Linked DNA regions of Saccharomyces cerevisiae S288C. The gene in region 1 interacts genetically with each later gene. Each region holds a gene or a part of one and is shown in the gene's direction. Other genes may lie near its edges.

Evidence for each region. A genetic interaction does not mean that the proteins touch.
Region 2: mutations in RIM1 (region 1) and TML25 together harm fitness more than expected from each alone (negative genetic interaction), as found in Saccharomyces cerevisiae (2 studies listed by BioGRID).

The regions. Positions count from the first base shown.
Region 1 is NC_001135.5:171,077-176,962, reverse strand, and holds RIM1 (Rim1p), read left to right. Parts: upstream 1-3,522; coding exon 3,523-3,764; intron 3,765-3,847; coding exon 3,848-4,013; downstream 4,014-5,886. Other genes in the region: SYP1 (Syp1p), read left to right, coding at 525-3,137; FEN2 (Fen2p), read left to right, coding at 4,539-5,886. UniProt on the Saccharomyces cerevisiae protein: This protein binds preferentially and cooperatively to single-stranded DNA (ssDNS). Involved in mitochondrial DNA replication. Stimulates PIF1 helicase activity.
Region 2 is NC_001144.5:383,082-388,865, reverse strand, and holds TML25 (palmitoyl-(protein) hydrolase), read left to right. Parts: upstream 1-3,457; coding exon 3,458-4,141; downstream 4,142-5,784. Other genes in the region: YPS3 (aspartyl protease), read left to right, coding at 1-122; YPS1 (aspartyl protease), read left to right, coding at 646-2,355; ESCRT-I subunit protein SRN2, read right to left, coding at 2,691-3,332; CLF1 (Clf1p), read left to right, coding at 4,332-5,784. UniProt on the Saccharomyces cerevisiae protein: Hydrolyzes fatty acids from S-acylated cysteine residues in proteins with a strong preference for palmitoylated G-alpha proteins over other acyl substrates.

The DNA.
Region 1 (5,886 bases):
CTATTTTGAACATTGCTTAGGGTTGAGTGGGGAGTAAAGAATAAAGCGAATCCTATTCGTGTAAGCCGGTCTACTTATTGATAACAATATTTTACAGGCGGCTATCATGTTTCAGCTTACGCATTCACAGTCAGGTTGGTGCTCTACATGAATACCAGCGTTTACTTTCATTTACAGAGTACTAGCACCTCCACTGTCGCTAATACTGAATTTAGTTTTGAAGAGTGAAAACAACTAAATCAGGCGGTAGAAGAAAATCAATAGCTCATATATTCTTATATATTACAGGTGATATTTGTATATGATTATGAATGGCTTTTCGTAGCCCGTGATCTTTCATTTCTATATTATGTGTAGCTAAAAGGGCCCCTTAAGTACTTGCAGATTGAAAAACTCTATATTGCATTCAAGTTTTCACGAAATACAAAGAAAAGGTCTCGTAGTTATTGCCTTAATAAAGGAATTACTTTTGCTGTAGTCGTATTGAAGCAAGCTTATTTGAAAATTGCGAATAATCACCTCTCATGACGGAACAAAGAACCAAATATGCAGATAGCATATTGACTACTAAGAGTCCTTACGAGGCTACCGAAACTATTAGAATCAGGTTATCGCAGGTCAAATTGTTGAATAAAGACTTTTACCTGTTATTTAAGGAATTGGCAAATCTGAAGAGGAACTATGCTCAGCAATTGAGAAAAATAATAGCTGAAAATGAAGATATAACAAAGATCTTAAACGCTCAAATGATTGAAAGTAATGTTTTGACTCCGCAGGAAATGAGTGCATTCAGATTCAACTCGCTGGGAGAGCTAAGAAATGTATGGGATACTGTAATTGAAGAACTAAAATCAGATTTGAAGTCAAGTACAGAATACTACAACACTTTGGACCAGCAAGTCGTTCGTGAATTGAAGGAATCCGTGGAGAACAATACTAGCTGGAGAGAAAGCAAGGACTTACATTCCAAGCTTAGTAAAAATGCAGCTTCAATTGAGCACTATAGTAAGAATAACGAAAACTCTAGTCACTTAGAAGAGGCAAGAAGGCAATGGGACCAGCAAAGCCCCTATTTGTTTGAGCTGTTCGAGACTATTGACTATAACCGTTTGGACACTTTAAAAAACTGTATGCTTAGATTTCAAACCAGTTTTAGCGATTATTTACTAAATACTACCAAAGAATGCGAAACGGTGATGACGAAATTCCTGGCATTCGAACCGCAAAGTGAAATTGATCGTTTTGCCAAAGATGCCAGTCAATACAACTTCCAACTATCCTCTTCTTCCAAAGAAGTAGTTCCTAATAATGCTTCGCCAGCTTCTGCCACTGGTGCCCGCCCGGTCTCTGTATCCAATGGTGCCGCTAATACGGAAAGAGAAAAGAAATCCCCACAAAAGGATAAGCGTAAGAGTGCATTTGGAAACATTGGACATCGTCTTGCCTCTGCATCTTCCAGTCTCACTCATAATGATCTCATGAATAACGAATTTTCAGACTCTACTAATAATTCTTCCTTGAAATCAAAAAAGTCGTCCCACACCCTAAGATCTAAAGTGGGCTCAATTTTCGGTAGAAATAAGACCAAGAACAAGAGACAACAACAATCATCATCAAACTCTCATATTCAGGCATCCATCACTGAGACTCCGAATAATTCTTCCACCAGAGTGTCTTCAACTGCAACTTCTTCTATTTATCAGAAGCAACGTCGACCCACCTATTCATCATCAAAATCAAACAATTGGACCCCGGGTGAAGCTAGTGACACTCCTCCTCTTCCTCCCCATGCTACTCCTAAAAACGTAGATGCACCTGTTACTGCCGATACACCACCTGCGCAAACTTTTACTCCTTCTGAAGTGCCTCCTTCAACGCCACAACAAAGTTCTCCACCCACTGCGAAAGAACCAGACTCAAGTAACTTACCCAAGACAGTACCGATATCAATTTCTCAACCTCCACTTCAGCCACAATCAAAAACAAAACCATTACCAGTTGAGCCTGCCTCTCCCAGTATTTCACTTCCTACTGCTACGGTTGATAACCAACCTTCAGGTCAAGTTGATTCAAGGCCCTTGCATATCCGCGCACCTGCTTTACCACCCTCAAGGAAACAAAATTTCATTCATAACAGGGATTCTCAACTCTATGACTCTTTGCCTAATCACGGCTCAGGCGCTACCCCTACTTCTTCTTCCTTGTCCTCTATTCCCCAGGAACGTCCAGTTTCCACACTCTCCTCTCAGATTACTGGCGAGCTAAGAGAACTAAATCCTCAAGCCACGGGCTCTTCAACATCTTTAGTTGGTCAATCGTTGTTTCAGCACTCCTCTTTAGATACATCTCAATTTGGGTTGAATGCTAGTATCGCAGAAGTGCTCAATGCTTCTTTCAAAGACGGTATGTTGCAGAACTCCCAACTGATTGGGGAAATTGCCCTCAACTATTTACCCAATTCTGTCATGAATTCGCCTTTACCTATCGGTATTAATTTGAGAATCAATAATGGCGCTAAGTTCGAAAAGGTCATTCTGAACCAAGCCTTTATTGAGCGTGTTGCTCCAGAAGAATTCAAAGTTAACCCTTCATTTATCGATTCTAGAACCTTAGGAGCTATTAAATATTCCATAAAGGAGCCGATCGCGCCTATTGTTATTCATCCGGTCTGGAGATTTGAATCTCACCAGGCAAGTGTTGTATTGACTGTCAAGATGTCACCAAGCTTACCCGATGAAATATCACAAATCGTAATAGAAGACCTCGTTGTCTTTGTGAATATCGATGGTGCTAATGCAACAAGCGCTTTATCAAAACCTCAGGGCTCCTTCAGTAAAGAAAAGAAGAGAATAACGTGGAGATTTAAAGAACCAGTTGTTTTGACAAGAAATGGTGAAGGTCAAAGATTAATCGCCAGATTTATTACAGACGGCCTGGCACATGAATCCGCTAAAGGCGTGATTACCAAATTCACTATCAGTGAGACGGATAACGTGGCTCTACCCCATAGCGGAGCCGGCAGTGGAATCACCTTGACTTGTCAGGAGCTGGATGAAAACAATCCATTTGGTGGTGAGTGGCTCGATGTAAACACAAAAAGAACTTTGACCACTGGTAACTACCATGGTCTCGCTTGATATTTCTGCTATGCTTCTATTTTTCAATATTAATTGTTCTTTTGTTTGCTAATCCATAATTTATGGAGGTGGCGCCGCTAAATCATATTTTCCTTTTGAAACCTTTGTTTAAGACTTACGTAGAACTACACTTATGTACTATAATGTTCTGTAAAGATTCTGTATTTTCGTTCTTTTCTATTCCATTTTTCGGACTTTTAGGACTTTTCATCTAATACTTATTATTTGTGGAGGAGTGCTTAAAAGGCGTTTGCGCCCAGACGAAAAAAAAAAAGCTAACACAGTAGTTGAGAAAGACAAATACCACGAATTTGATAACAAGTCATTTGCTAATTGTGTGTCCTTGACAAATACAAAACAAACAAAAATCCACTAATCCATTGTAATGTTTTTACGTACTCAAGCTCGTTTCTTCCATGCTACTACCAAGAAGATGGACTTCTCGAAAATGTCCATCGTCGGCCGCATTGGCTCTGAATTCACTGAACATACTTCTGCTAATAACAATCGTTATTTGAAATATAGTATCGCTTCGCAACCAAGAAGAGATGGCCAAACCAATTGGTATAATATCACCGTTTTCAATGAACCTCAAATCAATTTTTTGACAGAATATGTTAGAAAAGGGTATGTTATTTATTCTTCAATTTTACTTACTTTACAATTACGCGTTATAATTTACTAACATTTCCTTTCCATAATTTATTCAGCGCTTTGGTATATGTTGAAGCAGATGCTGCTAACTATGTCTTCGAGAGAGACGACGGTTCTAAGGGTACTACTTTGAGCTTAGTTCAAAAGGACATTAATTTATTGAAGAATGGGAAGAAATTAGAAGATGCTGAGGGCCAAGAAAATGCTGCTTCTTCAGAATAATTGTAATATTTACGCTTGCTTATTTCGACTCTTCCTCGATATTTTTTATCTAGAGCATGCTTTCTTTTACTTAAAATATTTATGGCAAATAGGAAAAATACATTTGGAATAACGAACTAGTTATGTAAAACTATGCTTATTCTCAAATAGAATGTATATATACTATAATATATTGGTTAACGTGTGTTATGCAAAATGCTTTTTGATGATGAAATTTAGCAAAAGAGGAGGAAGCTTTAGCGAATTTAACATATCCTTCATTGTTACAAAATTGCCTACACCTCCATTGATCCATGCAGTCCGATTATTGTAGATTTTGAGTAGTCGATCTTGAAAGGCATTTTTGACGAATTACAAGAACTCAGCATCGATCAAATCTTCTACATGCGTATATTGTAAAGGAAGACATCGGCTCTTAAGAGAAATGAGGCGGACCTGTAATTCTGATATAAAAGTATTCCGATTTATTCAAGATTGAGAAGCTGTTTTCAGAATTTTTGATTGGAGAGAGCCTGGGCCTAAGTCATGATGAAGGAATCGAAATCTATCACTCAACATGAGGTTGAGAGAGAATCTGTTTCTTCCAAGCGTGCCATTAAAAAGAGATTACTTCTGTTTAAAATAGACTTGTTTGTGCTATCATTTGTTTGCTTGCAATACTGGATTAATTATGTCGACCGTGTCGGTTTCACCAATGCATATATATCCGGTATGAAGGAAGATCTTAAGATGGTCGGAAACGATTTGACCGTGTCTAACACAGTTTTCATGATTGGTTACATTGTAGGTATGGTCCCCAATAATTTAATGTTATTGTGTGTTCCGCCCAGGATATGGCTAAGTTTTTGTACGTTTGCTTGGGGTTTATTGACCTTGGGAATGTACAAAGTTACATCGTTCAAACATATTTGCGCAATTAGATTCTTTCAAGCCTTATTTGAGAGTTGCACATTTTCAGGAACACATTTTGTTTTGGGTTCGTGGTATAAAGAAGACGAATTGCCCATTAGAAGTGCTATTTTTACAGGTAGCGGTTTGGTGGGATCTATGTTCAGTGGATTTATGCAAACAAGTATCTTTACTCATTTGAATGGGCGGAATGGCTTGGCGGGTTGGAGATGGTTATTCATTATTGATTTTTGTATCACATTACCCATTGCAATTTATGGGTTTATTTTCTTCCCCGGCCTTCCTGATCAAACAAGTGCTGTTAGCAAATTTTCTATGACGAGATACATTTTTAATGAACAAGAGCTACATTATGCTAGGAGAAGGCTCCCCGCTAGGGACGAAAGCACCCGGTTAGACTGGTCGACTATTCCTAGAGTCTTAAAAAGGTGGCACTGGTGGATGTTCTCTCTTGTTTGGGTTCTGGGAGGTGAGAACTTGGGTTTCGCATCTAATTCTACATTTGCATTATGGTTACAAAACCAAAAATATACGTTGGCGCAAAGAAATAATTATCCTTCGGGGATATTTGCCGTAGGTATAGTTTCTACGCTTTGTTCTGCTGTATATATGAGTAAGATCCCAAGAGCTAGGCATTGGCATGTTTCTGTTTTCATATCATTGGTAATGGTTATTGTTGCGGTACTAATACGTGCAGACCCACTAAATCCAAAAGTCGTCTTTTCTGCACAGTATCTTGGAGGCGTAGCATACGCTGGACAAGCGGTTTTTTTTTCGTGGGCAAACATTATTTGTCATGCAGATCTTCAAGAACGTGCTATCGTTCTTGCTTCCATGAATATGTTTTCAGGGGCCGTTAACGCATGGTGGTCTATATTATTCTTTGCTTCAGATATGGTGCCCAAGTTTGAGAGAGGTTGCTACGCCCTCTTGGCTACGGCAATATCAAGCGGAATTGTCTCGG
Region 2 (5,784 bases), on another chromosome or scaffold:
CGACTCATAAAAGCAAGAGGGCACTCCAGAGGGCTGCTACCAACTCCGCTTCCAGTATACGCTCTACCTTGGGTTTACTGCTAGTCCCCTCCTTACTCATCCTTTCCGTTTTCTTTTCGTAAAAAAAAACAATAGACACTATATATAGACACTTTTTCCTTTCCTTCTTTGCGCGATTTCAAGAGGAAAAGCATACTTAAATAAGAATATTCCTAAAACACACGTTCTGACGCGTCAATTAGATCGTCAGACCTTGCATGCAGCCAAGACACCCTCACATAGCACTGCCTCCTTCCTCCTCTTTTCTGTCACCACCTCACCTCCCTCGTCCACTCAACTGAGTGGCTTTTCGCTCCTTTTATACTGCGCCATGAGTAGTTTTCGTTTCACTGATGTGTCCGAAAAAATTGAGGTTTCATAAAAAAATTCGTGGACTTATTTATGGAGAAACAGGGAAATCCGACTACTTAAGAAAAGGGTGTCAAAGAGGATTTACTTTTTTCCTTCTTTTTGCATTTGTTCCTATTTCCGCAATTGGACGGTTATTAAGAAGAACGCAATTGGCTTTTCTGTATATTAAAATACATAGCGTAATAAAAAGATAAGGTGAACACCAAGCATATAGTATAATATTACCTACCACATATGAAACTGAAAACTGTAAGATCTGCGGTCCTTTCGTCACTCTTTGCATCGCAGGTTCTCGGTAAGATAATACCAGCAGCAAACAAGCGCGACGACGACTCGAATTCCAAGTTCGTCAAGTTGCCCTTTCATAAGCTTTACGGGGACTCGCTAGAAAATGTGGGAAGCGACAAAAAACCGGAAGTACGCCTATTGAAGAGGGCTGACGGTTATGAAGAAATTATAATTACCAACCAGCAAAGTTTCTATTCGGTGGACTTGGAAGTGGGCACGCCACCACAGAACGTAACGGTCCTGGTGGACACAGGCTCCTCTGATCTATGGATTATGGGCTCGGATAATCCATACTGTTCTTCGAACAGTATGGGTAGTAGCCGGAGACGTGTTATTGACAAACGTGATGATTCGTCAAGCGGCGGATCTTTGATTAATGATATAAACCCATTTGGCTGGTTGACGGGAACGGGCAGTGCCATTGGCCCCACTGCTACGGGCTTAGGAGGCGGTTCAGGTACGGCAACTCAATCCGTGCCTGCTTCGGAAGCCACCATGGACTGTCAACAATACGGGACATTTTCCACTTCGGGCTCTTCTACATTTAGATCAAACAACACCTATTTCAGTATTAGCTACGGTGATGGGACTTTTGCCTCCGGTACTTTTGGTACGGATGTTTTGGATTTAAGCGACTTGAACGTTACCGGGTTGTCTTTTGCCGTTGCCAATGAAACGAATTCTACTATGGGTGTGTTAGGTATTGGTTTGCCCGAATTAGAAGTCACTTATTCTGGCTCTACTGCGTCTCATAGTGGAAAAGCTTATAAATACGACAACTTCCCCATTGTATTGAAAAATTCTGGTGCTATCAAAAGCAACACATATTCTTTGTATTTGAACGACTCGGACGCTATGCATGGCACCATTTTGTTCGGAGCCGTGGACCACAGTAAATATACCGGCACCTTATACACAATCCCCATCGTAAACACTCTGAGTGCTAGTGGATTTAGCTCTCCCATTCAATTTGATGTCACTATTAATGGTATCGGTATTAGTGATTCTGGGAGTAGTAACAAGACCTTGACTACCACTAAAATACCTGCTTTGTTGGATTCCGGTACTACTTTGACTTATTTACCTCAAACAGTGGTAAGTATGATCGCTACTGAACTAGGTGCGCAATACTCTTCCAGGATAGGGTATTACGTATTGGACTGTCCATCTGATGATAGTATGGAAATAGTGTTCGATTTTGGTGGTTTTCACATCAATGCACCACTTTCGAGTTTTATCTTGAGTACTGGCACTACATGTCTTTTAGGTATTATCCCAACGAGTGATGACACAGGTACCATTTTGGGTGATTCATTTTTGACTAACGCGTACGTGGTTTATGATTTGGAGAATCTTGAAATATCCATGGCACAAGCTCGCTATAATACCACAAGCGAAAATATCGAAATTATTACATCCTCTGTTCCAAGCGCCGTAAAGGCACCAGGCTATACAAACACTTGGTCCACAAGTGCATCTATTGTTACCGGTGGTAACATATTTACTGTAAATTCCTCACAAACTGCTTCCTTTAGCGGTAACCTGACGACCAGTACTGCATCCGCCACTTCTACATCAAGTAAAAGAAATGTTGGTGATCATATAGTTCCATCTTTACCCCTCACATTAATTTCTCTTCTTTTTGCATTCATCTGAAAACCGTTGCACAAAGTTTAGACATTCACATCTCCAAGCCAGTTGGAGTTTCTGGCGGAAATCGTTGCTCTCGCTTGGGCAAAGTTTTTTTTTATTATTAATTTTTTATTGTTACGTTGGCGGTCTTCATTTTTACTTCACAATAGTTTATCTTACCCACTAAGAATAGGTTACCATTTATTCACATTTTTTTTTCTCATTCCTAGTATACTATTTACCTGGGATATGGCCTATAATCAAAGGCTTTAATATTCTAATAATTCGTTTGGCATCTAGAATAATCTATAAAGTATAGTCTATATACGTACATATTGATAATGGCGGTAGCTGCTGAACTAGTATTTCAAATTACCTTGTTTATCCCAGGTCGCCAGTTTCTCTCTCCTCAAGTGATATTGTGTTCGTATGTCCAGATAATTTTTGATGAACTGATCCAGGTCATCGGCTGAGTCAATGGACCTTGTGGTAGTTTCTAGCTGTGAACTCTCCTCATCAAGTTTCTTTGTGTTTTGTTCTAATTTCTTTTTTAATGCTATGTCACCATATTTTTTTGAAAATTCGGAATGGTAATCTTGCCAGCTAGCTACATATTTGGATTCTAAAATCCTACAGTTTTCTAATAAGGCTTGGACCTTATCTTTTTGCTCATGTAAATCTTCAAAATTTTCTTCCAATTGTTTAAATTGATCTCTGAATGCATGAATCTTTCCAGCAAAGTCCGTTAAGGGATTGAATTTTGTGACGTATAACTCTAATTGGTGTCTGTGGGTTTGAATTAGATCGATTATCTCCTTTGATGATAAAAGGTTAATTCCTTCAGGTAAGGGAATATTTTTGCTTTTTTCGTTTACTTTTTCTGGTAAACCCGGAGATGGTACCACATCCATTTCTGCTCTGATAATATCTAATCTGCTTATATTGAGCCCCTTATTTTTCCTTCGTTGTTTTATCCTTAGTTTTGTAGCCTTTACTTTCATATTTCCTTCTTTTCAGAACGCCTATTCTAGGGAAAAATGGCTTCTGTATGAAATAAAAATGTTAGCAAAAGAGAACGAAAATAAGAACACATACACTATATTTGCCCATTTGAGCGCTATCGAATATGAATGGACTTAGAGTTGCAGCAAAAATTCAGCCAGCACGCCAAACTATCATATTCTTGCATGGATTAGGTGATACAGGTTCGGGATGGGGATTTTTAGCTCAGTATTTACAACAGAGAGACCCTGCCGCTTTCCAGCATACTAATTTTGTTTTTCCTAATGCTCCAGAGCTTCATGTGACAGCAAACGGCGGTGCATTGATGCCTGCTTGGTTTGACATCTTGGAATGGGATCCTAGTTTTTCCAAAGTTGACAGTGACGGTTTTATGAATTCTTTGAATTCCATAGAAAAGACGGTTAAGCAAGAAATTGATAAAGGAATTAAACCGGAGCAGATTATTATCGGAGGTTTCTCTCAGGGTGCCGCATTAGCTCTCGCAACATCAGTTACTTTACCATGGAAAATCGGTGGTATAGTAGCTCTGTCGGGATTTTGTTCCATCCCAGGAATTCTGAAACAACATAAGAATGGCATTAATGTAAAGACACCAATTTTTCATGGGCATGGTGACATGGATCCAGTAGTTCCTATTGGACTAGGTATAAAGGCAAAACAGTTCTATCAAGATAGCTGTGAGATACAAAATTATGAATTTAAAGTATACAAAGGTATGGCCCATTCTACAGTTCCAGATGAATTAGAAGACTTGGCTTCATTTATCAAGAAGAGCTTATCATCATAGCTCTTTTCCTAATATTGCGAGTTCAATTTAACCGCTATTATACTTGGTTAAATAATTTATATACATCCGTAAGACGCGATAGAAAATTAAAAACCTTGGTGCCAAATAGTTGGGGTGATGAGACTCATTGATTATGCAAGTTCATAATAGATAGACAAACTTGAGCTAAAAGTACTCTACTATTGCCAGCATGGACACTTTAGAGCCAACAGCCGTTGATACGCATGTTTCTGCGGAGCAGATTCTGCGGGATGTGTACAAGAAGGGGCAAAAAGCAAGAGGATCGACTAATATTGATATATTAGACTTGGAGGAACTTCGAGAGTATCAACGAAGGAAGAGAACAGAATATGAGGGTTATTTGAAGAGAAACCGACTGGATATGGGACAATGGATTCGTTATGCGCAATTCGAAATCGAACAACACGACATGAGGCGCGCCAGATCTATCTTTGAAAGAGCATTATTAGTAGATAGTTCATTCATCCCCCTTTGGATACGATACATTGATGCTGAGCTGAAAGTCAAATGTATTAACCATGCTAGGAATCTTATGAACAGAGCTATTAGTACGTTGCCCAGAGTAGACAAGTTATGGTACAAGTATCTCATTGTCGAAGAGTCGTTAAACAACGTTGAAATTGTACGATCACTGTACACCAAATGGTGCTCCTTGGAGCCAGGGGTTAATGCATGGAATTCTTTCGTGGATTTTGAAATAAGACAGAAAAACTGGAACGGTGTAAGAGAGATTTACTCAAAATACGTCATGGCTCACCCGCAAATGCAGACATGGCTAAAGTGGGTGAGGTTTGAAAATAGACATGGTAATACTGAATTTACGAGAAGTGTGTATTCTTTAGCGATAGACACAGTAGCTAACCTCCAAAATTTACAGATTTGGTCTGATATGGAGGTTGCAAAATTAGTAAATTCATTTGCTCATTGGGAAGCTGCGCAGCAAGAATACGAAAGATCTAGTGCTCTTTATCAAATTGCTATAGAAAAATGGCCCTCCAATCAATTGCTCAAGGCAGGACTGTTGGATTTTGAAAAGCAGTTTGGTGACATAAACTCAATAGAAGAAACTATTAGCTATAAAAGGAAAATGGAGTATGAAACAATATTGAGTAATAACGCCTATGATTATGACACCTGGTGGCTGTACTTGGATCTCATTTCAGAAAGTTTCCCCAAACAAATAATGCAAACTTTCGAGAAAGCTATTGTGGACAGCCGACCAAAAGAACTATCAAAAAATGTTCAGTGGAAAAGGTATATTTATCTGTGGATGAGATATATATGCTATGTTGAGTTAGAATTGGAAAATTCGCTTTTAGAAGAAGAACTTTTTCAGAGGTTAATTGACGACATCATCCCTCATAAACATTTCACTTTTTCCAAAATATGGCTAATGTATGCTAAATTTCTGATACGACATGATGATGTACCGAAGGCGAGAAAAATTTTGGGTAAAGCAATCGGTTTATGTCCTAAGGCTAAAACTTTCAAAGGATATATCGAGTTGGAAGTGAAGTTGAAGGAATTTGATCGTGTGAGAAAAATATATGAGAAATTTATTGAATTTCAGCCCTCTGATCTACAAATTTGGTCACAATATGGAGAACTAGAAGAAAATTTAG